3 linked regions of the Xenopus tropicalis genome follow. The protein of the gene in region 3 binds, or shares a complex with, the protein of the main gene of each other region. Links are inferred from orthologs where the notes say so. Each region holds a gene or a part of one and is shown on either strand. Other genes may lie near its edges.

Region 1 (9,608 bases), about 60 Mb from region 3:
AAATAGTACTTTATGAGTTCAAGTAACTTTAAACATTAGTTGTCTGAGATACTACATACAGTAGCACTGCTCCCTGAGGCTTCACAAAGTTTTGTATAACAAAAGGTGTTAACGTGGCTGGAATAAAATCAAACAGGGAGATTTCTTGCTGCATTCTCTGGAAAAAATAATTTTTTCTCTTAAATTACTTGCTTACAGCATTTATTTGGTTTTGTTTTTATACAACCAGCAGATATTTGTCAGAACAGCATATGCCAGCAATAAAATATGACTTTTGAATAAAGCTAAAAAGTATACGGAAGGACAATTTTACTTATAAAAAATGTAATGAATTTGTCCTGTACACTTTGATCCATACTCCCCTATAATTTTTATATAAAGCTATGATATTGATATATATATATTAAAAGGCGCTGTATTCAAGACAATATGTTATGCATCACAGTATTACAGACATTAGCCAGAATACTGCCATATTATTATAGAGCAAGTACATCAAAACACATTCAAAAGAAAAAATATACCCTATACACTGTATTTTGTCTGCTATTTAGTTTTTTTAAATAGATAGCTACATTTTTATCCATCCTTCCTTTGTATACTCACATTGACTTTGTTCATATAAACAGGAGTGGAAATATTGCTTGTATGTGTTATTTTATTATCAGAGAACAGCAATACTAATTAATAACCTCTAGTCACGTTCTGCGTATGCAGCCACCTTTCATAAATATTCAGAAGGAAATGGTTTAATATGCTGTAACTCACATTTTCTAGTCTCTTTTCTATAAGCAGAGTTTATTCTTTATTTATAAGTGGTGTTTATTATCAGACACCCCTATATGAATGTGTTCCCTTTAAAAGGCCTACAACAACTATTCAAGTTAATATGTTTAAATACATTTTATAACATTTGTAAATATCATTTTAAAAGTTCTAGTTGTACAGTGTCCTACCCAACCTTGTCATGTATTTCACTGCATGCAATTCATTTTTAATGTAAGCCATTTAGCCTATTGTATCTCTGAATAGACTCTGTAATTTGATATTTGTGGAAGACCATGTATATAATCAAAGCATTATCTGAAGTGATTTTTTCTTTTAAAGGTGGCCATACACCACGCTGACATTATCACACGAAAGACGAGGCGACCGATATCAGTCGCCTCATTGATTGGGCAGGACTGAAAATTTTGACTGGGTGCTTTTGAAGGTGCCCAAAAAAACGTAATGTTAATGCTGAATCATCAGATAATGGGAATACATTACCTTGCTTTTACCTGTATATTTGCCAATTCAGCTCTTAACGTTAATAGAGTAAACAAATGATCGTTCCTACACTCAGTGGTCGTGGGAAAGATCATAATTGTAGAGTGTATGACCAACTTTAGCCCCTATTAACCTGACACATCTATAAAAGTGGCTCCTCTATATAAAGCAAATTATATATTATTTTGCTTTCCATTAAAGGAGAAGGAAAGGTAAAGCTGTATTCAGAAAGGCCTAAGTAAATAAAGCCATAAACGCTTACAGAAAAGCTGCTCTGAGTCCTCTATCAAAAGAAACACAGGATTTCTTTTCATCTTTTGCGTATACATGTTCTTCTGTGTCAGACTTCCTGCTCTCAGAAAAATCCTTCAGGGCACGGCATAAGTCTGCTCAGTTTGCTCCTCTCTCCCCCTCCCAACTGTGCTGTGTAATCCGAGCTACCAGAAGCCAGAGCTGCAGCACGGAAGTTACTGAGACCAAGCTTAAATGGCAACTGCTATCTAAAGCAAACAGAGGGAGATTCTAGGGCTGTTTACTCGGGTATGGAAACGTTTTCTACAGAATAAATATAGCGTTCTAGCTTGCACTATTGTGATTAATCTATTGGCAATAAAATTTCAAAATGCCTTCGCTTCTCCTTTAAGGCCTGCTGAAAACCTCTGCAGCAATCCATAAAACATTCTACTGATTTAAACCTAATATACTAAATTAGGAGCAAGAACACTGCGCCAAAACATGTTTCTCACATTTCTTAGTCACTGCAAGCTTTCCAAGGAAACAGTGAAGATCAAAAACTGCCCATTAAAAGAAACAGGCACACCAGGAGGTAGTACCCAGTTCACTAGTTCGGTGGCCACACACAGTCAGCTTTGCATTTTCTACTAATTGAAGTGATCAGTATAGGTTCCAGTTTTAAGTGATTTCTCTGAGATGATTGTGGAAATTAAAGTACCTAATTAAACACAGTTTCAAACTAGACTCAGCAGTACTCTTGGAACAATAATCCTTCATTCACATATATAGACCTAATTATGGCAGAATGATATACATTTACTTACTGTGTATTCAGTGCATCTTTAAACATTGTAGAGCCAGCTTGTATCAGACTTATCGTGGTAACTATCCCAAAAACCCTTTGTGTTTAAATTTTAAGTGCACGCTAATTTATTTGGTCTTACATTATTGCCCATGAGTAATATCTCCCATAAAGTAATATCTTATGTTTCCATGTTGCTGATGTATGTGTTGATCCGTGTTTCTAGTATGTTTTGCCAATTAATGCCTTCACTTTTGAGCAAAGAAAATGCAGGCCAATCAGAAAAACTATTTGTGTTTCTTTTTTTAAGCAAGTGTTTTCCTCGTGATTGTCAACCGGTTAACTAACAAAAGCAGAAAATGCCCCTAAGTGCTCTTGTCTTACTGACCAGCCGAACCTTACTACAAGTCAGGCCCATTAGAGAAAATCTATACCCCTGAACAGTGTAGGTCTCTATAAAAATATATTGCATAAACAAGCTCATATGTAAAACTCTGTTTCTGTTTCTAAATTAACCATTTTCATAAAAATATACTTTTAGTAGTATGTGCCATTGGGTAATCCTAAATAGAAAATTGCCATTTTAAGAATTAAGCGCTTCCACTGGTGCACACACAAGCCACATACATGTTAGGTTACATCAGCCAATTAGTGCACAGAGGTCTTTTACTCCCACACTTCTTTCTGTTATAAATAGAGCTGCATTATTTCCATTCAGGTGATCTCTGAGGGAGCACTTAGCCCATAACAAAATGGTGGCTCAAGGTAAGAGATGTAAAAGGGCAATATTTACTGATGTATATACCTACTCCAGTTTGGCAAGATTGTTTAATAGGTCACTTTACATGAATGGTTAGGTATTCATTCTGGGGGTATAGCTTTGTCCCTATTCAGGTCAGTATTTGCATATTTAGGGGTTATATAATATAAGGTGCGAATATTGCTACAGACTGAATCACCTATAGTAACCAATCAACAAGCAGCATTTACTGGTTAAATTCACTGTTTAAGAAGCAAACATCTCAATGGTGGCTATGGTTTACTGCACCTGGGAATTATCAGGGGGTACCTATGTTAACTAATGTTACAGATGTGCCAATTAGAAATGAATAGTAGCACACACAAAAAGAGCCCCACTGAGAATTCATAATGGTAATTAAACACAGTTAATACTGGTGGATCGTTTCATGGTTGCTAGGTGTGCATTCTGTATATACACAAATCTGTCTGTAAAACTCTTATTAGGGAAAATAAAACTGCTTTAACACACTTTTCATAGAGTCCCACAGACCAGAAGCATTCCTCAAATGAGTACAATTTAAGGATGCAGTCCATATAAAACCAAAACTGACAGCTAATTCTAATGGGAAGGATCATCCCGTGTGGAGTCATTGGCTTGTTTCAGTATCTTCCAAACTATTTTTTCTAGTTCCTTCCTTGACTTCTGCTCTTCATCCAAGCATTGTTTCATTCTTTTGTTCTCCTTTGGAATACAAAATCATCAATTTCTTAGTTAAAACAATAAAATGACAATAAAACAATAAAAATAAAAAACCAATAAACAGGCAAGACTGGAGTAAAGAAACTTCTGTACATATAGCAACTATTTATCACCCTATATGAAATAACCTATTTATTAAGAACAAAGCTGATATTAGTGCAACATGAGACCCATGGCGCCTTTATTTTTTTTCTCCCATTTCATAAGGATGGGGACAGTATGTGCCAAATACATTAGCTTTATAATTCTGCTTTCCTATGGCTTATTGTATAGTGTAATTTTAAAATTCCTCTTCCCAGGCCCAGGCGGGCAATCTGTACCTTCTGGCTAATCACAGAGGGGCTGCTGTAAGATGCCATAGACGGTCATTATTTATTGGGCTGGTAGAGGGCTGTTTGGCCTCTGTGTACTTGTTATGCCAGGGCCAATTTTGAATCTCAGTCCAGACCTGCCTCTTCCACTTAAAATAAACAGCAGAGATCATGGAAGGGCAGGGTAACTGGGCTCACAATCTCCACATGGATGGTTGCAAGCATGTCATGCTACTCTGGTTCACTGAGGGACAAACAAAATGAATGCTACATACATAGGGATTTTCTCTTAAAAAGAATTTGCAAATGCCACCAAAGAATAACATGGTATAATGCATATTTTCACCTGTTTAAGCTCCATGACTTCATCTCGTAATGCATAAACTGTATCTACAAGGCTCCTACAATAAAGTGTAGATAGATAATTAATACCAGAAGCATAGTGCATTTCCACAATACAAGCACGACCTTATTGTATTTCAACACTGCAATTTGCTTTGAAAATTAGTATCCCCTCTCTAAGAAAGTCAACAAAAGAATAATCATTCACATGGCTGAACACAAAGAACTTCACATTGTGCTGAAATTCCTTTTTTTAGCTGTATGTATTTACATATATATTTATTTATTGACTATTCAGTAATACATGCAGTCCTTATTTTATAGGCTTTATGTAATGCTCAGTCATTTTTATGTTTGTTCCACTGAAATGCAAAGGCAAAAGGCTGAGAAAATAAGCCCATGGAAGATATTGATAGATTTAGATGTGGTATTTAGAGGCACTTAAAAATGAATCCATGCTGGCAGTAAGAATCTTACTATAATTTTTAAGCCCAACTTACTTTTCTTCTGAAACTGTTTGCCCATTGGTTCTCAGCTCATCAATTATAAGATTTTCTTCCTCAAGTAGCAACACTTGTGCAACAGAATCTTTGCGTGAACCTGCGGAGAAACAAACTGCTTTACATTTCCTATCTGAATAAGAGGGAATAAAGTGTGTATCTGGGAGCTGTGCATAGATATTCTGGCCTATTCTTATAAAACTGGAAAGCCACACTGCCTTGTTTCCTGCAGTAAATGAGTCACCTCTCTTGCCTTGCCATGACTGCATCTTTCAAAGAAAGCACCCTGAGTTGCCTAGTAGTTTACAAAACAACCTCATGGCATGGCACAGTGGCTCACAGTCACCGATCATATAATTTAGAAATATGACATCAGATAATTCCAGAATCAATAAGTTACATTTAAAAAAAACTATGTAAAGATCCATCATAGAAAACCATGCTAAATTCAGCATTAAAGTCTTAAGAATGACTAAGGAGGGATTTGCTGAAAGAAAGGAAAAAATGGATGGTATGCAAAGGTTCTAACAAATTATATGCAAAAATGGAGAAATTAAAAAATTGAGAGTTGTACCGAGGATAAGAGATATACAATTTTTTTGGCTCTAAGGATTTGGCTTAGTGTAGTTATCATTCTAGCTAAACAGCAGTATACACTTGAGAGTACCTGAACTAAGGAAACCAAAGACAGATTTATCATTCTGAAACAACATATGACAATGAGATGTAAATTAGAGACTTGTCTTTGCAATCTCTTCTATAAATGCTAATCGTGGGGGATGACTAAGCCCTGTGACTGATGCCCAGGCCAGGAGGCCCTTTTCCTACTTTGAGGGTGGTGCCAGCCTATAAAAAAAATACAGCCAGAGTTAAATAGTAAGGACCACTATATGGGGTTTAACTTGACATGGTATGATGGCTAGGCAATTATATGATAATGAAAACCCCCTGTTTTTGAAAATACATGCACTATTACATGCATAGATACTAAACTGAAACAGGGGGACCAGAGAATGTAAATTGATCAATCCCCTCCCTTATGTGTGTTAATTAGAGAACCTGAAATAGGAAATCCATTCAGATCAACATGAAAATGCCCTTACAGAAACCTGCTCTGAATTTAAATAATTAACAAGGGTCTTGTAGCAGAACAGAGCAGAAGAGATTGCGCATTCCATCATTTTAACAGAATTTGTCATTCTTCTGAGGTACATTTTAGCAGCTCTCACTTACAATAACCATATGCAGTGCAAAGATGACATTCATAATTAATGGCAATACAAAGGACTAGACACAAAATGCATGCAGTGATATATTAGTCTAATAATGTGGAAGGTGGATGCCATAGGTTCTGAAGTCGGTGTCATGCAAAAGTGAATTTCTATAAACGAATGCTGTAGAAATGTAGAAAAGACAGCCCTCTAAAACACATGTATAGGACTCCCACAGCAGCCTGCATTAACAACACACACACTTACTCCTAAAGTATTGGGTAAAGATGGAAGTTTGATGCCATGTGGTGGAAATTATGACATTCCAACACCGTTTTTTTGAGCAATTCGTCTTAACAACATCAAATTACATATTTGATGAGGTGGTGCCACCTCACATCCGCAATTATGCTCAAACTATGAGAAAAAATGCTGCATCATGCGTAAAAAAACATGGCAACTTGCACCCAAAATTGCACACTGCGTTTGTGCTTGTAAAGAAACCCTATATATTGTTAGTGGAACGCATATTGGTGAATATCATTTAGATATTGATGCAGGGCTATATGGCCATACGTATTGCTAGAGGGTCATGTTGAATTAAGGAAAGACAAACTTTAATGTATGCAAAAAAAGTATGATTAGCAAGATTTGATAAAGCACCAAGCTGTATATTCTCCTGAAAGTATCAAGAGTATGCAATACACCATTCTACATATAACTGCATTTGTAATAAAATATTATTTTATACAACTGCCAACTGTATTTTACAAATAAGAATTTAAAAGAATTCTTTCCTTTCAGTCACATATAGGGTTAGGAACGAGAACAGTTGCTCAAGGGGTATATAGGGCTGTTAGCTGTGGCACAACAGTTTTTTGGATAAAACAAGTAATCTATGATTTGATGAGGCTTTAGTGACCATTAAAGGACAGCCTCTTTGAAATCTTTCAATACCTGCCACACTGGTTGTCCAGAGGTTAATAGTAAGGCTGCAACATCCCCTTAATCACTTAGATTTCCTTCTCCTCCTGTAACCCACTCGGCCCCCTCCCTCAGGAATTTGCTTTGGCTGTTGGCTTGTGGGCATGCTCAGTTGTTCTAAGCTCAGATTACTACACACACCCTCCAGTCTAGCAGCCAGTGAAGAGATGGCATTGCTGGTTCCCATAGAAACTCAGCTCTAGCTGTCTGCTTCCATTTTTTTCTCCTGACCTCAGCTTTACCATTACAGTGCTCAAACAAAGCAGAACTTTTATCAGAGACAGTTGTGCCTGTGTGAGCCTGCATTGTTGATGAAATGTATGCTGAATAAGGGTCTGTGTGTGTATAATGTTTGCAGATTTAAATCTATCTGATTATGTATCAGAGGGAAAATGGCCACCGGGTGAAAGCTGCTATTTGCTTTAGGAAAATGTGATGGTGCTGGCAAGCGGAGGGCATATATGCAGTACAAATGATGCCATTTGGGTGGAGGAGACATGCCCAACTGATATATATTGTAGGCAAATGTAGGCTTTACATGTCCTTTAAAGGGACATTATACTCGCTTGTCCAACTTGAATGCAATTAATAGGGCTTGTGCTAAACATACTCTTTGACTTTTGTTTTAATCACAAAAAACTGTTTTGTTATTTCTTGGGCTAAACAGGGCAAACAGGGAAACTGAAACTACTCCATACTTGGTCCTTGCGAGGTAGCTAATTAGATTACCATTACACAACCCCTCTCTTCCAACTGGTGGGACTGTTGTGTTGGCAGGAGTATTATTTATGCACTGGTAATCTAATTATCTTATCTAATCTTACCTTTTTAGCTATTTAGTTTAAGAAAGAACTTAAATAACTTTTTAGTATGACATAGACAGTAATATCCCTGTCTGTATGTGTGAGTATGCTGGTGTAAGGGACTGTAATTTTATATCTTGCAGCTCTTTTAGGTAATGGTGAGAGATATCGAACACATAAAAGTTATAACTACTGCTGTGATTACACAAGAAAAAAAAAAAAAAGAAAAAAGCTGCATCCCTCTAGTTGCCAAAACTGCTGATGAAAAGATATTCTTGCTTCCTGTGTATGACACAAACAAGCAGATTAAAATCTGTCTTGCTTTTGTAGACAAAAGAAACTTTCTCCTAGTTAACCCTTTTACATATGCATGTCTTCTCTATCAGTTCAGTTTAAGGAATGCTTGAAAAATATTAAAGGGATTCTGACATGATTTTTATGGTGTACTTTTTTTTTTACACTCTTTAAATGGCAAATAATTCACTCTACCATTTAATATTTTTTTCTACAAATGTTTTTTTTTAGATGTAATATTGGTGTGTAGGCAGCCATCTCAGTGCATTGTGCCTGAGTCTGAGCTTTTAGAAGGAGCCAGAGCTACACATTAGAACTGCTATGAGGTAACCTATTGTTTCTTCCACTCCCACGTAATTGAAGTAGTCATGAGCCGGACTTGGACTTTTTACTATTAAGTGTTTACAACTTTTAGCAATACTGGTGTCAGGGAGCTGATTTTTTGTTACATTCCCATTGTGCTGCTGATTGGCTGCTGGAAGGGAAAGGGAAGGGTGTAATATCACTCCAACTTGCACCGCAGCAGTAAAGAGTGATTAAAGTTTATCGAAGCACAAGTCACATGGCTGTGGCACCCTGGGAAATGAAGAATATGGCTAGCCCCATGTGAAAGTTCAAAATTAAATAAGATTTCAATGCAGGATTCTGCTGGAGAATGATGTGTTTTGAAAAAAAACATGTTTTCCCATAACAGTATTCCTTTAATACTGGAACAATGCAGTTATATTTATAGCTTTACTCCTTTGGAGCATAAGAAAGCATGACCCCATGGGCAGTTTATTGCCTACAACAGGCTCCTCATGTGTAATACCCAATATGCCCTGAAATTGGGTTAAGTCAGTAAAAAAGTCCTGTAATTGGCAATTTATACCGCATGGAAAATGTACTTGATTTTTCTAAAGCCAATACAGAGATACCATAAGTCTACGGTAGCATAGGTATTCCCTGTGCCCTTTAAAAAGAAAATACTATAAAAGCAATAGCATCCCTAGAGATCAAATATAGATGAACTCTGTCTTTACAGTTGCCTATGCATACAGAACTTACCCTAATAAGGTATCAGGCAAAAATGTTCTTCCATCTTTGTTTCCTGAAATCTCAGTAAGTTTTATTATCAACTCTCAAGTGAATTATGCCTGTAATGTGAGATCTTGCCTTTTTTACTGTAGCAAATCAAGGTTTTTCTTTTTTTTTTTTTTTACAAATTTTCAATAATTTCACTGACAATAGTAACTGCACAAGTAAATAGAGACACATGCCTTGTACTTACCAGAACAAAGGCTTTGCTGGAATCCTGCACCAGTGCAATACGCCTCTATCACTTTGAGAATTTGTGCATCTTCTTCTAAAGCAACAG
Region 2 (10,756 bases), on a different chromosome or scaffold from region 3:
AACTCCCCAATATCCATTCATTCCTCATTCTCACTGGGTTTATAGTTATGTGTAACTGTCACTGTGTCTGTCCCTTTCCCTTCCCTGCACTGCTGGTTCTGACTCCTGATACAACTCCCCAATACCCATTCATCCCTCATTCTCACTGGGTTTATAGTTATGTGTAACTGTCACTGTGTCTGTCCCTTTCCCTTCCCTGCACTGCTGGTTCTGACTCCTGATACAACTCCCCAATATCCATTCATCCCTCATTCTCACTGGGTTTATAGTTATGTGTAACTGTCACTGTGTCTGTCCCTTTCCCTTCCCTGCACTGCTGGTTCTGACTCCTGATACAACTCCCCAATATCCATTCATCCCTCATTCTCACTGGGTTTATAGTTATGTGTAACTGTCACTGTGTCTGTCCCTTTCCCTTCCCTGCACTGCTGGTTCTGACTCCTGATACAACTCCCCAATACCCATTCATCCCTCATTCTCACTGGGTTTATAGTTATGTGTAACTGTCACTGTGTCTGTCCCTTTCCCTTCCCTGCACTGCTGGTTCTGACTCCTGATACAACTCCCCAATATCCATTCATTCCTCATTCTCACTGGGTTTATAGTTATGTGTAACTGTCACTGTGTCTGTCCCTTTCCCTGCACTGCTGGTTCTGACTCCTGATACAACTCCCCAATACCCATTCATCCCTCATTCTCACTGGGTTTATAGTTATGTGTAACTGTCACTGTGTCTGTCCCTTTCCCTTCCCTGCACTGCTGGTTCTGACTCCTGATACAACTCCCCAATATCCATTCATCCCTCATTCTCACTGGGTTTATAGTTATGTGTAACTGTCACTGTGTCTGTCCCTTTCCCTTCCCTGCACTGCTGGTTCTGACTCCTGATACAACTCCCCAATATCCATTCATCCCTCATTCTCACTGGGTTTATAGTTATGTGTAACGGTCACTGTGTCTGTCCCTTTCCCTTCCCTGCACTGCTGGTTCTGACTCCTGATACAACTCCCCAATACCCATTCATCCCTCATTCTCACTGGGTTTATAGTTATGTGTAACTGTCACTGTGTCTGTCCCTTTCCCTTCCCTGCACTGCTGGTTCTGACTCCTGATACAACTCCCCAATATCCATTCATCCCTCATTCTCACTGGGTTTATAGTTATGTGTAACTGTCACTGTGTCTGTCCCTTTCCCTTCCCTGCACTGCTGGTTCTGACTCCTGATACAACTCCCCAATATCCATTCATTCCTCATTCTCACTGGGTTTATAGTTATGTGTAACTGTCACTGTGTCTGTCCCTTTCCCTGCACTGCTGGTTCTGACTCCTGATACAACTCCCCAATATCCATTCATTCCTCATTCTCACTGGGTTTATAGTTATGTGTAACTGTCACTGTGTCTGTCCCTTTCCCTTCCCTGCACTGCTGGTTCTGACTCCTGATACAACTCCCCAATATCCATTCATCCCTCATTCTCACTGGGTTTATAGTTATGTGTAACTGTCACTGTGTCTGTCCCTTTCCCTTCTCTGCACTGCTGGTTCTGACTCCTGATACAACTCCCCAATATCCATTCATTCCTCATTCTCACTGGGTTTATAGTTATGTGTAACTGTCACTGTGTCTGTCCCTTTCCCTTCCCTGCACTGCTGGTTCTGACTCCTGATACAACTCCCCAATATCCATTCATCCCTCATTCTCACTGGGTTTATAGTTATGTGTAACTGTCACTGTGTCTGTCCCTTTCCCTTCCCTGCACTGCTGGTTCTGACTCCTGATACAACTCCCCAATATCCATTCATTCCTCATTCTCACTGGGTTTATAGTTATGTGTAACTGTCACTGTGTCTGTCCCTTTCCCTTCCCTGCACTGCTGGTTCTGACTCCTGATACAACTCCCCAATATCCATTCATCCCTCATTCTCACTGGGTTTATAGTTATGTGTAACTGTCACTGTGTCTGTCCCTTTCCCTTCTCTGCACTGCTGGTTCTGACTCCTGATACAACTCCCCAATATCCATCCATTCATTCCTCATTCTCACTGGGTTTATAGTTATGTGTAACTGTCACTGTGTCTGTCCCTTTCCCTTCCCTGCACTGCTGGTTCTGACTCCTGATACAACTCCCCAATACCCATTCATTCCTCATTCTCACTGGGTTTATAGTTATGTGTAACTGTCACTGTGTCTGTCCCTTTCCCTTCCCTGCACTGCTGGTTCTGACTCCTGATACAACTCCCCAATATCCATTCATCCCTCATTCTCACTGGGTTTATAGTTATGTGTAACTGTCACTGTGTCTGTCCCTTTCCCTTCTCTGCACTGCTGGTTCTGACTCCTGATACAACTCCCCAATATCCATCCATTCATTCCTCATTCTCACTGGGTTTATAGTTATGTGTAACTGTCACTGTGTCTGTCCCTTTCCCTTCCCTGCACTGCTGGTTCTGACTCCTGATACAACTCCCCAATACCCATTCATTCCTCATTCTCACTGGGTTTATAGTTATGTGTAACTGTCACTGTGTCTGTCCCTTTCCCTTCCCTGCACTGCTGGTTCTGACTCCTGATACAACTCCCCAATATCCATTCATCCCTCATTCTCACTGGGTTTATAGTTATGTGTAACTGTCACTGTGTCTGTCCCTTTCCCTTCCCTGCACTGCTGGTTCTGACTCCTGATACAACTCCCCAATACCCATTCATCCCTCATTCTCACTGGGTTTATAGTTATGTGTAACTGTCACTGTGTCTGTCCCTTTCCCTTCCCTGCACTGCTGGTTCTGACTCCTGATACAACTCCCCAATATCCATTCATCCCTCATTCTCACTGGGTTTATAGTTATGTGTAACTGTCACTGTGTCTGTCCCTTTCCCTTCCCTGCACTGCTGGTTCTGACTCCTGATACAACTCCCCAATATCCATTCATTCCTAATTCTCACTGGGTTTATAGTTATGTGTAACTGTCACTGTGTCTGTCCCTTTCCCTTCTCTGCACTGCTGGTTCTGACTCCTGATACAACTCCCCAATATCCATCCATTCATTCCTCATTCTCACTGGGTTTATAGTTATGTGTAACTGTCACTGTGTCTGTCCCTTTCCCTTCCCTGCACTGCTGGTTCTGACTCCTGATACAACTCCCCAATACCCATTCATTCCTCATTCTCACTGGGTTTATAGTTATGTGTAACTGTCACTGTGTCTGTCCCTTTCCCTTCCCTGCACTGCTGGTTCTGACTCCTGATACAACTCCCCAATATCCATTCATTCCTCATTCTCACTGGGTTTATAGTTATGTGTAACTGTCACTGTGTCTGTCCCTTTCCCTTCCCTGCACTGCTGGTTCTGACTCCTGATACAACTCCCCAATACCCATTCATCCCTCATTCTCACTGGGTTTATAGTTATGTGTAACTGTCACTGTGTCTGTCCCTTTCCCTTCCCTGCACTGCTGGTTCTGACTCCTGATACAACTCCCCAATATCCATTCATCCCTCATTCTCACTGGGTTTATAGTTATGTGTAACTGTCACTGTGTCTGTCCCTTTCCCTTCCCTGCACTGCTGGTTCTGACTCCTGATACAACTCCCCAATATCCATTCATCCCTCATTCTCACTGGGTTTATAGTTATGTGTAACTGTCACTGTGTCTGTCCCTTTCCCTTCCCTGCACTGCTGGTTCTGACTCCTGATACAACTCCCCAATACCCATTCATTCCTCATTCTCACTGGGTTTATAGTTATGTGTAACTGTCACTGTGTCTGTCCCTTTCCCTTCTCTGCACTGCTGGTTCTGACTCCTGATACAACTCCCCAATATCCATTCATTCCTCATTCTCACTGGGTTTATAGTTATGTGTAACTGTCACTGTGTCTGTCCCTTTCCCTGCACTGCTGGTTCTGACTCCTGATACAACTCCCCAATACCCATTCATCCCTCATTCTCACTGGGTTTATAGTTATGTGTAACTGTCACTGTGTCTGTCCCTTTCCCTTCCCTGCACTGCTGGTTCTGACTCCTGATACAACTCCCCAATATCCATTCATCCCTCATTCTCACTGGGTTTATAGTTATGTGTAACTGTCACTGTGTCTGTCCCTTTCCCTTCCCTGCACTGCTGGTTCTGACTCCTGATACAACTCCCCAATATCCATTCATCCCTCATTCTCACTGGGTTTATAGTTATGTGTAACGGTCACTGTGTCTGTCCCTTTCCCTTCCCTGCACTGCTGGTTCTGACTCCTGATACAACTCCCCAATACCCATTCATCCCTCATTCTCACTGGGTTTATAGTTATGTGTAACTGTCACTGTGTCTGTCCCTTTCCCTTCCCTGCACTGCTGGTTCTGACTCCTGATACAACTCCCCAATATCCATTCATCCCTCATTCTCACTGGGTTTATAGTTATGTGTAACTGTCACTGTGTCTGTCCCTTTCCCTTCCCTGCACTGCTGGTTCTGACTCCTGATACAACTCCCCAATATCCATTCATTCCTCATTCTCACTGGGTTTATAGTTATGTGTAACTGTCACTGTGTCTGTCCCTTTCCCTGCACTGCTGGTTCTGACTCCTGATACAACTCCCCAATATCCATTCATTCCTCATTCTCACTGGGTTTATAGTTATGTGTAACTGTCACTGTGTCTGTCCCTTTCCCTTCTCTGCACTGCTGGTTCTGACTCCTGATACAACTCCCCAATATCCATTCATTCCTCATTCTCACTGGGTTTATAGTTATGTGTAACTGTCACTGTGTCTGTCCCTTTCCCTTCCCTGCACTGCTGGTTCTGACTCCTGATACAACTCCCCAATATCCATTCATCCCTCATTCTCACTGGGTTTATAGTTATGTGTAACTGTCACTGTGTCTGTCCCTTTCCCTTCCCTGCACTGCTGGTTCTGACTCCTGATACAACTCCCCAATATCCATTCATTCCTCATTCTCACTGGGTTTATAGTTATGTGTAACTGTCACTGTGTCTGTCCCTTTCCCTTCCCTGCACTGCTGGTTCTGACTCCTGATACAACTCCCCAATATCCATTCATCCCTCATTCTCACTGGGTTTATAGTTATGTGTAACTGTCACTGTGTCTGTCCCTTTCCCTTCTCTGCACTGCTGGTTCTGACTCCTGATACAACTCCCCAATATCCATCCATTCATTCCTCATTCTCACTGGGTTTATAGTTATGTGTAACTGTCACTGTGTCTGTCCCTTTCCCTTCCCTGCACTGCTGGTTCTGACTCCTGATACAACTCCCCAATACCCATTCATTCCTCATTCTCACTGGGTTTATAGTTATGTGTAACTGTCACTGTGTCTGTCCCTTTCCCTTCCCTGCACTGCTGGTTCTGACTCCTGATACAACTCCCCAATATCCATTCATCCCTCATTCTCACTGGGTTTATAGTTATGTGTAACTGTCACTGTGTCTGTCCCTTTCCCTTCCCTGCACTGCTGGTTCTGACTCCTGATACAACTCCCCAATACCCATTCATCCCTCATTCTCACTGGGTTTATAGTTATGTGTAACTGTCACTGTGTCTGTCCCTTTCCCTTCCCTGCACTGCTGGTTCTGACTCCTGATACAACTCCCCAATATCCATTCATCCCTCATTCTCACTGGGTTTATAGTTATGTGTAACTGTCACTGTGTCTGTCCCTTTCCCTTCCCTGCACTGCTGGTTCTGACTCCTGATACAACTCCCCAATATCCATTCATTCCTAATTCTCACTGGGTTTATAGTTATGTGTAACTGTCACTGTGTCTGTCCCTTTCCCTTCTCTGCACTGCTGGTTCTGACTCCTGATACAACTCCCCAATATCCATCCATTCATTCCTCATTCTCACTGGGTTTATAGTTATGTGTAACTGTCACTGTGTCTGTCCCTTTCCCTTCCCTGCACTGCTGGTTCTGACTCCTGATACAACTCCCCAATACCCATTCATTCCTCATTCTCACTGGGTTTATAGTTATGTGTAACTGTCACTGTGTCTGTCCCTTTCCCTTCCCTGCACTGCTGGTTCTGACTCCTGATACAACTCCCCAATATCCATTCATTCCTCATTCTCACTGGGTTTATAGTTATGTGTAACTGTCACTGTGTCTGTCCCTTTCCCTTCCCTGCACTGCTGGTTCTGACTCCTGATACAACTCCCCAATACCCATTCATCCCTCATTCTCACTGGGTTTATAGTTATGTGTAACTGTCACTGTGTCTGTCCCTTTCCCTTCCCTGCACTGCTGGTTCTGACTCCTGATACAACTCCCCAATATCCATTCATCCCTCATTCTCACTGGGTTTATAGTTATGTGTAACTGTCACTGTGTCTGTCCCTTTCCCTTCCCTGCACTGCTGGTTCTGACTCCTGATACAACTCCCCAATATCCATTCATTCCTCATTCTCACTGGGTTTATAGTTATGTGTAGCTGTCACTGTGTAACACTATAGCTTGTTACACTTACAGTTCACACACACCTACCCCGTCACTTTGCCCCTCCCTCCATAACAGACCCTTCCATCCCAAACCTAACTCTCCCCTCACACAGCTGGTTTCCCCCACTTCCCCCCCCCCCCCGCTCCCATGGTCCCGCCCGGTGCCACTCACCCACTCATTGGCTTTGGGGCTGAAGCGATAGAGAGCGACGTGCCCGGTCACATCCACTATGTTACTGATATAGGGGTCAGACTGCCGCAGCGCCGCTAGACTCATCTCTTGCCCAGCCTTCTCCCGAACCGCCATCTTTCCTAGCGGAACAGCAGCGGGCTGGAGTGGGGCTCACACCTTAAATGTCCGCCAGCTCCGCAGCCCCGGCACAATGGTTCCTACCAGCAACGTTCCGCCCGCTCCGAGCTTCCCTATTGGTGCAACCAGAAATGTGGTCTGAGCAAGAAACAGAAGGTTTAGGGGAACTTTATTTTTACCATGGGTTTTGTTGACATATAACTTGTACACCAGCCTAGGGGAAACATAACTTTGAGTCTTGTCTAAAGTTGAGTAATAACTTTAGTGTCAAGGGACCCTGCCATGATGTTTATGGGGCTGTTTATCTCTAAATGACCCTGTTACACAGCAAATAATTCCCTCTGCCATTTAACCTTTTATTCTTCAACCAACAAATGTATTTGTAGCTGTAATATTGGTGTGTAGGCGCCATCTCAGTGCCTTGTGCCTGAGTCTGAGCTTTCAGCCAGCGCTACACATTAGAACTGCTTTCAGCTAACCTATTGTTTCTCCTACTCCCATGTAACTGGAGGAGTCCCAAGCCGGACTTGGATTTCTTACTATTGAGTGCTATTCTGATACCTACTGGGAGCTGCTATCTTGCTCCCTTCCCATTGTTCTGCTGATCGGCTGCTGGGGGTGAGGGGGGGGGGGATATCAATCCAACTTGCAGCGCAGCAGTAAAGTGTGCCTGAGTCTGAGCTTTCAGCCAGCGCTACACATTAGAACTGCTTTCAGCTAACCTATTGTTTCTCCTACTCCCATGTAACTGGAGGAGTCCCAAGCCGGACTTGGATTTCTTACTATTGAGTGCTATTCTGATACCTACTGGGAGCTGCTATCTTGCTCCCTTCCCATTGTTCTGCTGATCGGCTGCTGGGGGTGAGGGGGGGGGGGATATCACTCCAACTTGCAGCGCAGCAGTAAAGTGTGCCTGAGTCTGAGCTTTCAGCCAGCGCTACACATTAGAACTGCTTTCAGCTAACCTATTGTTTCTCCTACTCCCATGTAACTGGAGGAGTCCCAAGCCGGACTTGGATTTCTTACTATTGAGTGCTATTCTGATACCTACTGGGAGCTGCTATCTTGCTCCCTTCCCATTGTTCTGCTGATCGGCTGCTGGGGGTGAGGGGGGGGGGGGGGATATCAATCCAACTTGCAGCGCAGCAGTAAAGTGTTCCTGAGTCTGAGCTTTCAGCCAGCGCTACACATTAGAACTGCTTTCAGCTAACCTATTGTTTCTCCTACTCCCATGTAACTGGAGGAGTCCCAAGCCGGACTTGGATTTCTTACTATTGAGTGCTATTCTGATACCTACTGGGAGCTGCTATCTTGCTCCCTTCCCATTGTTCTGCTGATCGGCTGCTGGGGGTGAGGGGGGGGGATATCACTCCAACTTGCAGCGCAGCAGTAAAGTGTGCCTGAGTCTGAGCTTTCAGCCAGCGCTACACATTAGAACTGCTTTCAGCTAACCTATTGTTTCTCCTACTCCCATGTAACTGGAGGAGTCCCAAGCCGGACTTGGATTTCTTACTATTGAGTGCTATTCTGATACCTACTGGGAGCTGCTATCTTGCTCCCTTCCCATTGTTCTGCTGATCGGCTGCTGGGGGGGAGGGGGGGGGATATCACTCCAACTTGCAGCGCAGCAGAAGAAGATAAGAAATCCTGTGTTTCTTTTGATAGAGGACTCAGTGCAGCGTTTCTGTGAGTGCTTATGGCTGTATTTACATAGACCTTTCTGATGAAGCTACTGAGGTTTTAGCTTTCCTTCTCCTTTAAACACCAGCTCTACTGATGCCAAGTGCTGATTAGTTGTTATCAGTCACTAGAACTGGGGAAACATTTTCATTACCCCTTGTGTTTCATACAGAGGCGCAGGGCAATATAGTCACATCTCCCAAGTCAATTCCAGCCCCAAACCAAATATAACAGGTATCTGAACCCCCGCTGATATACACTGAGGCGGCAGATGATGCTTTACAGAAACATAAGGAGTGTTTTGGTTCAATAAGTTCTGCTTACCTTGCAAAAAGTTTCCCCAACTCCCCTAGATTGCCAGGGCTCCCCTTTATTTTACCCTCCGCTAAGCTTTGCCCAAGGGTGCGCTAGAATTTGCCCATAGATATTTGCTTCCCCCTTTAGAACGTTAATCCCGAAACCCAAGAGGTGAAAATGGGTCCCGTGCTCTCCTGATGTCGCTGGGAGGATTAATAATTGATTGGGCAGCTCCTAGATACAGTGATCTGGTGCAAACAGGTAATTCAATGCCCTAGATCCATGAGTACCAGTGTGAGTTACCTCTGGCCCTGCCCTGGGTGCTGATAACTGTCTGTCTGCCTGGGGAAGAATGACTGTCCCCATTGTTGCTATGTCTGTCTGAGCCATGATCCAACGTCTGTCCTGTTAAGGTAAGGAAGTTGCCTTTATTCCTATGTAGGGTAACAGAATCAGGGTGGGTGAGAAACAGGTATATAACTGCCTGCATTAAAGCTTTTACTGCTTCAGCTGTCTTCTGTTGTCGTTATAATGTCCTGTTTATATCCCATAATCCTTTATATCCTACTATTTTTTTTTCTTTTGTGCATTTCCACATTTTTTCAAATCAGCCATAAAGCAGAACAGGACTGCTGCTTGGAGGGGATCAGATAGGATTTGTGCCACTGTGACAGAATGCTCTGTTATACAGATAGCTAGAATCTCAGCCATAAAGCAGGGCAGGACTGCTGCTTACAATGGGGGGGGTCAGATAGGATCTGTGCCACTGTGACAGAATGCTCTGTTATACAGATAGCTAGAATCTCAGCCATAAAGCAGGGCAGGACTGCTGCTTACAATGGGGGGGATCAGATAGGATCTGTGCCACTGTGACAGAATGCTCTGTTATACAGATAGCTAGAATCTCAGCCATAAAGCAGGGCAGGACTGCTGCTTACAATGGGGGGATCAGATAGGATCTGTGCCACTGTGACAGAATGCTCTGTTATACAGATAGCTAGAATCTCAGCCATAAAGCAGGGCAGGACTGCTGCTTACAATGGGGGGGGATCAGATAGGATCTGTGCCACTGTGACAGAATGCTCTGTTATACAGATAGCTAGAATCTCAGCCATAAAGCAGGGCAGGACTGCTGCTTACAATGGGGGGGATCAGATAGGATCTGTGCCACTGTGACAGAATGCTCTGTTATACAGATAGCTAGAATCTCAGCCATAAAGCAGGGCAGGACTGCTGCTTACAATGGGGGGATCAGATAGGATCTGTGCCACTGTGACAGAATGCTCTGTTATACAGATAGCTAGAATCTCAGCCATAAAGCAGGGCAGGACTGCTGCTTACAATGGGGGGGGGGATCAGATAGGATCTGTGCCACTGTGACAGAATGCTCTGTTATACAGATAGCTAGAATCTCAGCCATAAAGCAGGGCAGGACTGCTGCTTACAATGGGGGGATCAGATAGGATCTGTGCCACTGTGACAGAATGCTCTGTTATACAGATAGCTAGAATCTCAGCCATAAAGCAGGGCAGGACTGCTGCTTACAATGGGGGGATCAGATAGGATCTGTGCCACTGTGACAGAATGCTCTGTTATACAGATAGCTAGAATCTCAGCCATAAAGCAGGGCAGGACTGCTGCTTACAATGGGGGGATCAGATAGGATCTGTGATTGCAGAGATATGGTTGGAATGTGTTGTGATTCTGTTAATGAGGTGTAAATAAACACAGTATAAAAGCCCAGCAGAGGGTGATACTACAAGCCAGCGACTCCCTGTTCACCCCCTGGAGCATCTTTATTACCTGCATGGTTCCTGCCCCAGCAGTTGTACTGGTACCAGAACCTGTATGAGTCGTGTAACTGTATATTGGACCCCTATTAACTCAGAACTCATTTACCTCATGAGCTTTAGGTTTAAAAGCAGCAGTCTCATCTGACAGCCCCGGCCCCTCTGTTCTGCCCCTTTAGTTCTCCCACTGTGTCAGTACCTGTCTGTATTCCCATGTTGCCCACGCAGGGCCA
Region 3 (10,930 bases):
CCTGGGGTCCCAAGAAAGCAGCTCCCTAAACCATTTTGCCAAGAAGGGGAGGCTGGTGTTGCGACTGGTGGGGCACTTGGAAAAAGGCCTGGTTGGCCGCTGGCCCCTGGGGAGTGTAACTATGGACACTCCCTCCTCCAATCATGGCAGCAAGGAGGAAGTGTGATAGGCGGTGGGGGGAACCATGTTGCAGCCCCGGTGGGCCCCAGGTTGCAGCCCCGGTGGGCCCCAGACACCCCAGTCCAACATTGTGTATTGAATAGAGCACTTAGCACCTAAGTAGAAACTGGAGAGCTACTGGAGAGAGGAATTCAGTCGATTTTAGGAGAGACAAATGGCATTTGTAATGACATGAAAAGGAGAGGATAATATACGGCGTGACTTGCTGAGCCAAGCAGATTTAGCAGCAGTAAAATTCCACGCGCCAGTGCCCAGCAAGCCTGCCGGAACACAACAATGAACAGAAACAATCATAAAAGAACAGCCATTCTTTCCTAATTAATCATAAAATAACGGCAGCTCCATGTTTGCAGCCGTACTAATTACTCCTTGTCACTATCCGACTAATAGTACGGCCCAGAACGTTTACCCTTTACCTTCCATCGAGGAGAAGAAGTAGAAGAACAAGTCATTCGCTGCTAAACTGATATTATATCCATCCCATATCTGTATTGGTTCCACTGGTTCTTGGAGCTGTGGATGGAGAAGGAAGTCCTGCCCCACCGATACCCCCCAGATTTCAATCAGGCAGGTTGACAAATTCCGTCGGGGCAAGGGGTGCATCGGTGGGTTGATGTGGTCCTAGCCCTGGTGGCCTGCATCCTATCAAAGTTGGCTTAGGGTTCCACTGGCTGTCCAGGTCAAAACTGCCTGGACATTAGGAAAACCAGGCAGGACTCTCCAAGATTGATATGGGGATCAGCATTGGTCATGTCATAACCCCACCCCATGATGTTGATGCCCCACCTTCATTATGTCATTGTCCCACCCTCTGTAATGCCACCACCTTCCCCCTGCCCAGTGTTAGCAGCGGGTAAAGGTGGCAACCCTAGTTTGGCCGAGGATCGGATCAATCCGATATCGCCTACCCCATTGTTTTTGTTATTTAATAAGCCAAAAAGGGAAACTGAAGCTCCTCCATGTTTGGTCCTTGCAAGGTAGATACATTTTCTGTAGTCATCTATTCCCTTCACTCTTTGTTGCGACTGTTTGTTAGCAGGAGTTCATTATACAGGGAGATTATTTCTGCGCTGAGAATCTAATTATCTCCCTTACTACGGCCAACACTGAGTAGCTTTCATTTCTAGGGAGCTTGTCCAACTTGGCCTTGGTCTTTATGCTCCTCCTCCCACCCAGCTGACTGTGACATCACTTGCAGTACTGGGCCAGGTTTGGGTCAATGGGCTCAGGCAATTCAAGGTGATTAGGTAATATTATAAATGTTGGGTTCAGTGTAGGCCTGGCCCACAAGTACACAAGAAGAACTCGTGGTGGGCCATGGTTTCATTGGCTATTCCTTTTCAACCAACCATTTGTCTTGTATGTTGAAATCATGGGCATTCATCATCCATATATGAAAACAAGAAGAAATGTAGGCCTGGCCTACCGGTTCTCAAGAAGAAATCATGGCGGCCATGGTTTCATTGGCTAAATGTTGGGTTCAGTGTAGGCCTGGCCCACAAGTAGACAAGAAGAACTCGTGGTGGGCCATGGTTTCATTGGCTATTCCTTTTCAACCAACCATTTGTCTTGTATGTTAAAATCATGGGCATTCACCATTCATATATGAAAACAAGAAGAAATGTAGGCCTGGCCTACCAGTTCTCAAGAAGAAATCATGGCGGGCCATGGTTTCATTGGCTAAATGTTGGGTTCAGTGTAGGCCTGGCCCACAGGTACACAAGAAGAACTCGTGGTGGGCCATGGTTTCATTGGCTAGGTGTTGGGTTCAGTGTAGGCCTGGCAAACCAGTTCACAAGAAGAACTCATGGTGGGCCATGGTTTCATTGGCTAAATGTTGGGTTGAGTGTAGGCCTGGCCTACCAGTTCACAAGAAGAACTCATGGCGGGCCATGGTTTCATTGGCTATTCCTTTTCAACCAACCATTTGTCTTATATGTTAAAATCATGGGCATTCATCATTTCTAGATGAAGAAATGTAGGGGAGGATAGATGACTATATGGAAGAAGTGATGAAGAGAATAAAGAAAGTGATTGAAAAGGGACAGAAAAATTCGGCCTGTGGTCAAAGGTTTTCTGGTGGACCCCTGGCATAGGGTTGCCACCTATAATACCAGCCTTTGGGTTGGGGGAGGGCCGTGACATTGTTTTGTGGGTGGGGTTAGGAAGTAGAAGGTTAGGAAAGGGGGCAATGTGTAATACTGGTGCTGGCTGGTTAAAAACCACCTACCCGAGCCCCCCAGTCCGACACTGCTTGGGTAGAGTCAATGGAAGGCTCAACCTACTCCCAACTGGTACAAGCTAATTGTTTAATAAGATAACGAGCAACATGGTGAGCATAACGTTACAGGGCATAACTAGAAGAAGAAGATACTGGTCCATCTACGACTTTAGCCTGGACTCTCACCGAGCCCTCTGTATTTCTGAGCTCCCAATCAAACTAGTCACTCTGTTTCTTTTGGTTGCCCCTGCTTAATAGCAATGGGAAATATATGGGCATTAATATGTGGCTACATCCCTTCATATATGGCCGAACGACCATGACCAGGTGTAGCCACCAACCAGGGATGGTCCCATCAGACTTTCCCCCAACGCCCATGAAAGCAACGCAGCCCCGAGAGCTGACAGGAGAGGATGCAAATCCCATTATTGCGCCCAGCTAATCGTGCCAGTTCCCAGGCAGCTGTAAAACGCGTGGAAATGACATTTGTAAGTGAAGCTCCTGAGACACAGAGCGATAACCACTTCTCCTGGAGAGCTTAAGTCTCTCGTTGGCAGTCACTTCCAGCAACAACGCTCCGTTTCATTTCATCTGTCTCTAAAGTCTTCATCCTATTGTTCCCCCCATTGCAGAGCCGTCTCCTCCGAGGCTCATTAATATTTGAAGCGTGGAGGATTAGGTGAGGTGGAGGAGCACTCTATAATCTCCCGGAGTAGGATGTCGGAGAAGTAGGAGTAGGATGATGGAGAAGTACATATACGGCACGGGCAAGCTGAGCGGCATCATGGGCTAGTGAACTGGCCGGCCTGGGGACTGTGTAACTGGCATAGCCATGTTTATACATCTATGGGGTGTCATCAGAAACCTATGTTAGATGCCACCAGCTGGTTTTTAGCATTGTCCACAATGGTGCCTAAGGCAAATAGTAGGGTTCTAGGCTGACGCAACTCTCAATATTGTCCACTTTCTAGAAGTTCAACCCTACCTGTTTCCAACAAGCATGAAAACCTAACCCACCCCTCCCGTGTATAACTGTCAGAGTGATACCTAGACAAACCCACCAATATGCTCTAGAACCCCGGCAACTCTTGGACGAGTTCCCCTGCCAGCTGAACAGTTGGACTCGATGGACCCAATATGGGCTCCTAGTCTTCTTGTGTTGCCCTCCTCTCTAGCTGTGGCCCTGCATGAACCTTGACACATCTACCCTTGAGATGCCAACGTCTCCATTCCCTGCTGCTATAGTTCTTCTGCTGATATCCAATGGGATTACAGGGAAAACATGTGAAAGTCCCATGGGTGCACTTAAGGGAGGGCAGCCCAAAAATAGATTTTCCTTCTGGCTGGACAGAATATTTATCCTGGCCCAAATGCAACCCACAGTGGCTCCTATTGCTACAAAGCTCACACAATACTCCGGAACCTCTAGAACTGAAAAACATAAGTCGCTTCTTCCCTCTCGAGCCCACTTAAGTTAATTTTAGAGACCATTATTATATTCATTAGCTTTTTAGGGCAGTTTTGCCACATTTGGAAGACGGCGGATCCCAAGGGGGTTAACCCTTTACAACAGACATTCTTTCCCAACCAATTACTGGTTGGAAAATATTTAAAGGGACAGTGTAGCAAATATGTTTTTTTAGAAGCACTAACTATACCTTCAGTGGGAAAGTTTGGTTAACAGCAATTAAAGAAAAAGAAACAAATGCAAAAAGAGTTGGGGTTCAACACATGGGGGGTACATAATAAGGGCTGTGATTGGTTATTTGGTAGGCCCTATGTGGGCTGGCAGCCTATTGGAGGCTCTGTTTGGCAGTACAACTGTTTTTTATGCCTCCAAACCTGCTCTGAGGCCACTGGGAGCAACATGCAAGGGGTCGGTAGGCAAAATATTTGAGAGCCACTGGTTGGGGAACCCTGCTAACATAGGAACATCAGGAACGCAAGTTGAGGTGAACGGAACTTAATTTGCATCCAGTTTTGGATTGGGGTGTCCAGGGCCCACCAGGTCTGCCATCTAGGGGCCACAGCTGGAAGCTGCTACACTCAAAGTCAACCCCCTCCACCCCAGTGTGTACTGGACTTCTCCTTGCAGTCAGTGTCGGACTGGGAACCCAGGGGCCCACCAGAAAACCTTAGACCCCAGGCCCTCTTTCCAAACTATTTTTCCTCCTTTCCTCACCCAACCTCTTTATTCTCCTAATCTCTTTACTTTACATGCTAGCATCTATTCCTCCATCTATTTCTACTCTTTGTTCCCATTCAGAAATAGGGAATGAGCATGAAACAGGCCAAATGGTCAGGAGCAGGAGGGCCCACCGGGAGTTTTCCTGGTATCCTGGTGGGCCAGTCCGACACTGCTTGCAGTTCCACTAGGGCCAGGGTCCACTGGGACCCTGTATGCATCCACAATTACACTGGAATTCTGGGCAATACACTGCATTGTGGTCTGCTCTTTATGCTGCCTTCATATTTGAGACTTACTTACTGAGCATGTGCAGTGCCCCCGGCACCAGGGAGAAGGTACGACGGCCAGTAAACAGAAGCACAGAAGTCAATGACGCAGTGTCTGTGTGACTTTTATAATTGCACCCCCCAGCATTCAACAGATACACGGTCGGCCCCAATCTAGACTGGGAAACATTGTGCATACACAGGCCTAGGTGCCGGAGATATAGAACAAGGATACAGAATAGATATAGAATTTAGTACGAGCCTGTTCCCATTTGTAGGAATTTCTGTACCGGGTTATAGGAATCAAGCTCCGACCAGCACAAAAGAGTGGAGAATGTACAGGTGGGGGGGTTGTTTGGGTGACAGATAGAAGTCTGCACACTGCCAGCAGGGGGTACAGTTCTGATAGGTCACTTAAGGTCCCCACACACGTTAAGATTCACTCACTTGGCGAGATCGCCAAGCGAGCGGATCTTCACCCGATATCCCCACTTACGGGTGGGCGGTATCAGGGAGCGTGTAGGCCAATTCGATCGTTTGGCTCTGGGGCCAAACAATCGAATTATATTGGCGGCAATGGGGCAGTCGGTTTGGGGACCGCATCAACGAGCCAATGTGGTCCCCGATCCGACTGAATTTTCTAACCTGGCCAATCGATATCTGGCCAATCGATATCTGGCCAATCGATATCTGGCCAATCTCAGGCCAGATATCGGCGGGCAGGCCCCTCGTTCCTGCCCCTACACGGGGCAATAAGCTGCCAAATGACCAATATCAGCAGCTACAATCGGCCCGTGTATGGGGACCTTTACAGTAAGGATTCCTAACAATCAGGGTGGTTAGGGGAATACTTTGCCTTTACTATCACAAGGAACCACAGGAAAGGTTAATTACCCCGTCTCGCCGGTCTGTTCCGACTCCTGGAGCGGCTGCGCTGCCTCTGCAGTTGGGATCGACCGATTAACCTGTAGTAATAGCCGGGCCGGCCAGAACCCCTCCGGCCGTTCAGAGACATTTCAGCTTCTTTGGCACCACTTTCTCCAGGACAAGGGGACTTGCAAGCTCCGTCGCACCCCCCCCCCCCCAAAACTTTTATCCAGTTGAAGCGGTTTCAAGGGGAAATAAACCTCACAGAAGAGGGAAAAAGTTTGCAGCTCCTGGCAGGCATAGCTCCGTTACCGGGCAGAGGGTTTCCCGGAGATAAGGGCTTGGAAAGAGTCCAGGGCTGGAATGGAGTGAATTGGGAAATCTGTCAGGGTTGGAGAAAAACAAACACACATCCGCAGCCTGGTGAGACTTTCACACAATGAGAGAGCTGTGAGCCGGAGCTTTTATGTGCAGCACTTACACGGCTCCCCCGGGGCAACAGCCATGTCCCCCCCCAAATATGGAGCCGGAGAGTGACCCCCGGGGTACAAGTGATGTGCGCCTAATGTTCCTCGCGGGGTGTAACGTGAGAATTTGCTGAAAGGAGACGCCTTAGTGAGAAGTTTGGGTGCATTAAATACTTACCCCCCCGGGGGGCAGTTTCCTCTCTGATTACATAATGAGAGAAACATGAATAGGGAAACAGATCAGCCGCCCCTCACCTGTCTCGCTTTTATCTAGGATTGGCCGGGGGGGGGGGTATCTGCCCGTGTCCTGACGGGGGGGTCTTGGGGAGCAGCAGGGGTTTATTACTGGCTAAAGGAGGATTCTGGGAAATGTAGTCTGCATCTGCCTTACTGGATCTCTAGTAGGGAGAGGGTTTTTTGAAGATGATGGAGAATGCCCTAAGCAATGGGGGGCAACAGTGGGGGGACTCAGCGAAAACAGTTGGCAGGGTCGGACTGCGGCGGTGGGACACAGGGAAAGCCCGGTGGGCCCCACCGCCCAAGACATGGTCCCTGCCAGTGCTCCCCAGGGCTGTCGGTCTGTGGGCATGTAGCCCCTGCAGGGGGTTAAAGGGATGCGGCAGGGGCCCCTGCAGGGGGTTAAAGGGATGCGGCAGGGGCCCCTGCAGGGGGTTAAAGGGATGCGGCAGGGGCCCTTGTGGGGGGTTAGGGGGGATGCGGCAGGGGCCCCTGTGGGGGGTTAGGGGGGATGTAGCAGGGGCACCTTGGGGGGTTAGGGGGATGCAGCAGGAGCCCCTGCGGGGGGTTAGGGGGATGTGGCAGGGGCCCCTGTGGGGGGTTAGGGGGGTGTAGCAGGGGCCCCTGTGGGGGGTTAGGGGGGATGTAGCAGGGGCCCCTGTGGGGGGTTAGGGGGATGTGGCAGGGGCACCTTGGGGGGTTAGGGGGATGTGGCAGGGGCCCCTGTGGGGGGTTAGGGGGGTGTAGCAGGGGCCCCTGTGGGGGGTTAAGGGGATGTGGCAGGGGCCCCTGTGGGGGGTTAGGGGATGTAGCAGGGGCCCCTGTGGGGGGTTAGGGGGATGTGGCAGGGGCCCCTGTGGGGGGTTAGGGGGGTGTAGCAGGGGCCCCTGTGGGGGGTTAGGGGGATGTGGCAGGGGCCCCTGTGGGGGGTTAGGGGATGTAGCAGGGGCCCCTGTGGGGGGTTAGGGGATGTAGCAGGGGCCCCTGTGGGGGGTTAAGGGGATGTAGCAGGGGCCCCTGTGGGGGGTTAAGGGGATGTAGCAGGGGCCCCTGTGGGGGGTTAAGGGATGTAGCAGGGGCCCCTGTGGGGGGTTAAGGGGATGTAGCAGGGGCACCTTGGGGGGTTAGGGGGGTGTAGCAGGGGCACCTTGGGGGGTTAGGGGGATGTAGCAGGGGCACCTTGGGGAGTTAGGGGGATGTGGCAGGGGCCCCTGCGGGGGGTTAGGGGGATGTAGCAGGGGCCCCTGTGGGGGGTTAGGGGGATGTAGCAGGGGCCCCTGTGGGGGGTTAAGGGGATGTGGCAGGGGCCCCTGTGGGGGGTTAGGGGGATGTGGCAGGGGCCCCTGTGGGGGGTTAGGGGGATGTGGCAGGGGCCCCTGCGGGGGGTTAGGGGGATGCGGCAGGAGCCCCTGCGGGGGGTTAGGGGGATGTGGCAGGGGCCCCTGTGGGGGGTTAAGGGGATGTAGCAGGGGCCCCTGTGGGGGGTTAAGGGGATGTAGCAGGGGCCCCTGTGGGGGGTTAAGGGGATGTAGCAGGGGCCCCTGTGGGGGGTTAAGGGGATGTAGCAGGGGCCCCTGTGGGGGTTAGGGGATGTAGCAGGGGCCCTGTGGGGGGTTAAGGGATGTAGCAGGGGCCCCTGTGGGGGGTTAGGGGATGTAGCAGGGGCCCCTGTGGGGGGTTAAGGGGATGTAGCAGGGGCCCCTGTGGGGGTTAGGGGGATGTAGCAGGGGCCCCTGTGGGGGGTTAAGGGGATGTAGCAGGGGCCCCTGTGGGGGTTAAGGGGATGTAGCAGGGGCCCCTGTGGGGGGTTAAGGGGATGTAGCAGGGGCCCCTGTGGGGGGTTAGGGGATGTAGCAGGGGCCCCTGTGGGGGGTTAGGGGGTGTAGCAGGGGCCCCCTGTGGGGGGTTAAGGAGATGTAGCAGGGGCCCCTGTGGGGGGTTAGGGGATGTAGCAGGGGCACCTGCGGGGGGTTAGGGGGGTGTAGCAGGGGCCCCTGTGGGGGTTAGGGGATGTAGCAGGGGCCCCTGTGGGGGGCTAGGGGGATGTGGCAGGGGCACCTTGGGGGTTAGGGGGATGTAGCAGGGGCCCCTGTGGGGGGCTAGGGGGATGTGGCAGGGGCACCTTGGGGGGTTAGGGGGATGTAGCAGGGGCCCCTGTGGGGGGCTAGGGGGATGTAGCAGGGGCCCCTGTGGGGGGCTAGGGGGGTGTAGCAGGGGCCCCTGTGGGGGGTTAGGGGGATGTAGCAGGGGCCCCTGTGGGGGGCTAGGGGGATGTAGCAGGGGCCCCTGTGGGGTGCTAGGGGGGTGTAGCAGGGGCCCCTGTGGGGTGCTAGGGGGGTGTAGCAGGGGCCCCTGTGGGGGGCTAGGGGGATGTAGCAGGGGCCCCTGTGGGGGGTTAGGGGGATGTAGCAGGGGCCCCTGTGGGGGGTTAGGGGGATGTAGCAGGGGCCCCTGTGGGGGGCTAGGGGGATGTGGCAGGGGCACCTTGGGGGGTTAGGGGGATGTGGCAGGGGCACCTTGGGGGGTTAGGGGGATGTAGCAGGGGCACCTTGGTGGATGCGGGGACCCCTGGGGCAGCAGGTTGGGTACCCCACAGGTTTCCCTCAAAAAAAGCAGATACACTGGGGCTATGGGTAGGATTTTTGGATGCGGGTATAGATGCAGGTTGGAGGTCTTATCCATATATCTTATATTACCTATATTATCAATATGGGGGAGCAACCGTGGGGCACGATCCCTGCTGGTCCTACCCCGGGCGGCTGGTCTGTGGGCATGTAGCGGGGGCCCCTGGGGCAGCCATGCACCCCCTAGTCTGACCCTGGGTGTTGGTTACCTCCAACTGTATGTTAGAGGAGCCCAGGGTCCGACCCCTTCCTGGGCATTCATATCGGATACTTACCTAGGTGCAATTGGGGGTGGGAGGTCAGTTAAGGGAGCGCCGACAAGGATCGGGTCTGGGTCAGCGGGGCCCATGGGGTTTTCTCCCAGTCTGACCCTGGGGGAGCACTAAAAATATTTTGGTGAGGAACCAAAACCCCCGACTAAGTGCTGAGGGGCCCAGTTACTTGTAACCCCACCCAGCTTCAACTCCCAGCAACCCCTGACAGCCCTTGGCAACCACCATCACCTGACCCCATCTTGCCTCCCTATACCCGCTCTCCCCCATTCTCTGCCCCGGTTACAGACCCCGCCTAGTCAATAGGTAAATCCGCGGGGGGGGCTAATTAATTTCCTTCCCCCTCTCCATAAAGCAGTTGTTCTGCCTCACGCGTTTCGCTCTCTCCCTTGCCCTTTACAAACTGCAGAGAGCAATAAAGCACGGGATTAAGATCCATGTCGGGAATCATGGCTGCTCCAGCTCAGGATCAAGTGCCATATATTTATTATATATACTGCAGAAGCCAATAAAAGGCTCAGGGTCCCCGGGGGCTGCACACAGGGGGATGGGGGATTCGCAGTGACATTCCCAGTAAAATAAGCGACAACTGCTCACCGTGGGTATATTATATTATATAAATATGTGTGTATGTATGTATAATATATATATATATATATATATATATATATATATACACACACATATACATATATACACACACATATATATATATATATATATATATATATATATACACACACACACACATATAGCTAGAGGAAGCAGACCCCGCTTTAGAGAACCCCCGGTGAGCCCTGCACCCCAAAGTCGGAGCCGGAGCTTTTATGTGCAGCACTTACACGGCTCCCCCGGGGCAACAGCCATGTCCCCCCCCAAATATGGAGCCGGAGAGTGACCCCCGGGGTACAAGTGATGTGCGCCTAATGTTCCTCGCGGGGTGTAACGTGAGAATTTGCTGAAAGGAGACGCCTTAGTGAGAAGTTTGGGTGCATTAAATACTTACCCCCCCGGGGGGCAGTTTCCTCTCTGATTACATAATGAGAGAAACATGAATAGGGAAACAGATCAGCCGCCCCTCACCTGTCTCGCTTTTATCTAGGATTGGCCGGGGGGGGGGGTATCTGCCCGTGTCCTGACGGGGGGGTCTTGGGGAGCAGCAGGGGTTTATTACTGGCTAAAGGAGGATTCTGGGAAATGTAGTCTGCATCTGCCTTACTGGATCTCTAGTAGGGAGAGGGTTTTTTGAAGATGATGGAGAATGCCCTAAGCAATGGGGGGGCAACAGTGGGGGGACTCAGCGAAAACAGTTGGCAGGGTCGGACTGCGGCGGTGGGACACAGGGAAAGCCCGGTGGGCCCCACCGCCCAAGACATGGTCCCTGCCAGTGCTCCCCAGGGCTGTCGGTCTGTGGGCATGTAGCCCCTGCAGGGGGTTAAAGGGATGCGGCAGGGGCCCCTGCAGGGGGTTAAAGGGATGCGGCAGGGGCCCCTGCAGGGGGTTAAAGGGATGCGGCAGGGGCCCTTGTGGGGGGTTAGGGGGGATGCGGCAGGGGCCCCTGTGGGGGGTTAGGGGGGATGTAGCAGGGGCACCTTGGGGGGTTAGGGG

Evidence for each region.
Region 1: dab2ip (region 3) and arhgef6 share a complex: the UniProt entries of both Homo sapiens proteins name them as parts of the cytoplasmic complex. The link is inferred for Xenopus tropicalis from reciprocal best matches to the Homo sapiens genes DAB2IP and ARHGEF6.
Region 2: dab2ip (region 3) and dcp1a share a complex: the UniProt entries of both Homo sapiens proteins name them as parts of the cytoplasmic complex. The link is inferred for Xenopus tropicalis from reciprocal best matches to the Homo sapiens genes DAB2IP and DCP1A.

The regions. Positions count from the first base shown.
Region 1 is NC_030684.2:69,142,988-69,152,595, forward strand, and holds the end of arhgef6 (rho guanine nucleotide exchange factor 6), read right to left. Parts: coding exon 9,522-9,608; intron 5,060-9,521; coding exon 4,960-5,059; intron 4,519-4,959; coding exon 4,464-4,518; intron 3,789-4,463; coding exon 3,666-3,788; 3' UTR 3,109-3,665; downstream 1-3,108. UniProt on the Homo sapiens protein: Acts as a RAC1 guanine nucleotide exchange factor (GEF).
Region 2 is NC_030680.2:150,712,132-150,722,887, reverse strand, and holds the start of dcp1a (mRNA-decapping enzyme 1A), read right to left. Parts: upstream 6,812-10,756; 5' UTR 6,754-6,811; coding exon 6,619-6,753; intron 1-6,618. UniProt on the Homo sapiens protein: Necessary for the degradation of mRNAs, both in normal mRNA turnover and in nonsense-mediated mRNA decay. Removes the 7-methyl guanine cap structure from mRNA molecules, yielding a 5'-phosphorylated mRNA fragment and 7m-GDP.
Region 3 is NC_030684.2:9,045,230-9,056,159, reverse strand, and holds the start of dab2ip (disabled homolog 2-interacting protein), read right to left. Parts: upstream 6,142-10,930; 5' UTR 5,871-6,141; coding exon 5,750-5,870; intron 1-5,749. UniProt on the Homo sapiens protein: Functions as a scaffold protein implicated in the regulation of a large spectrum of both general and specialized signaling pathways.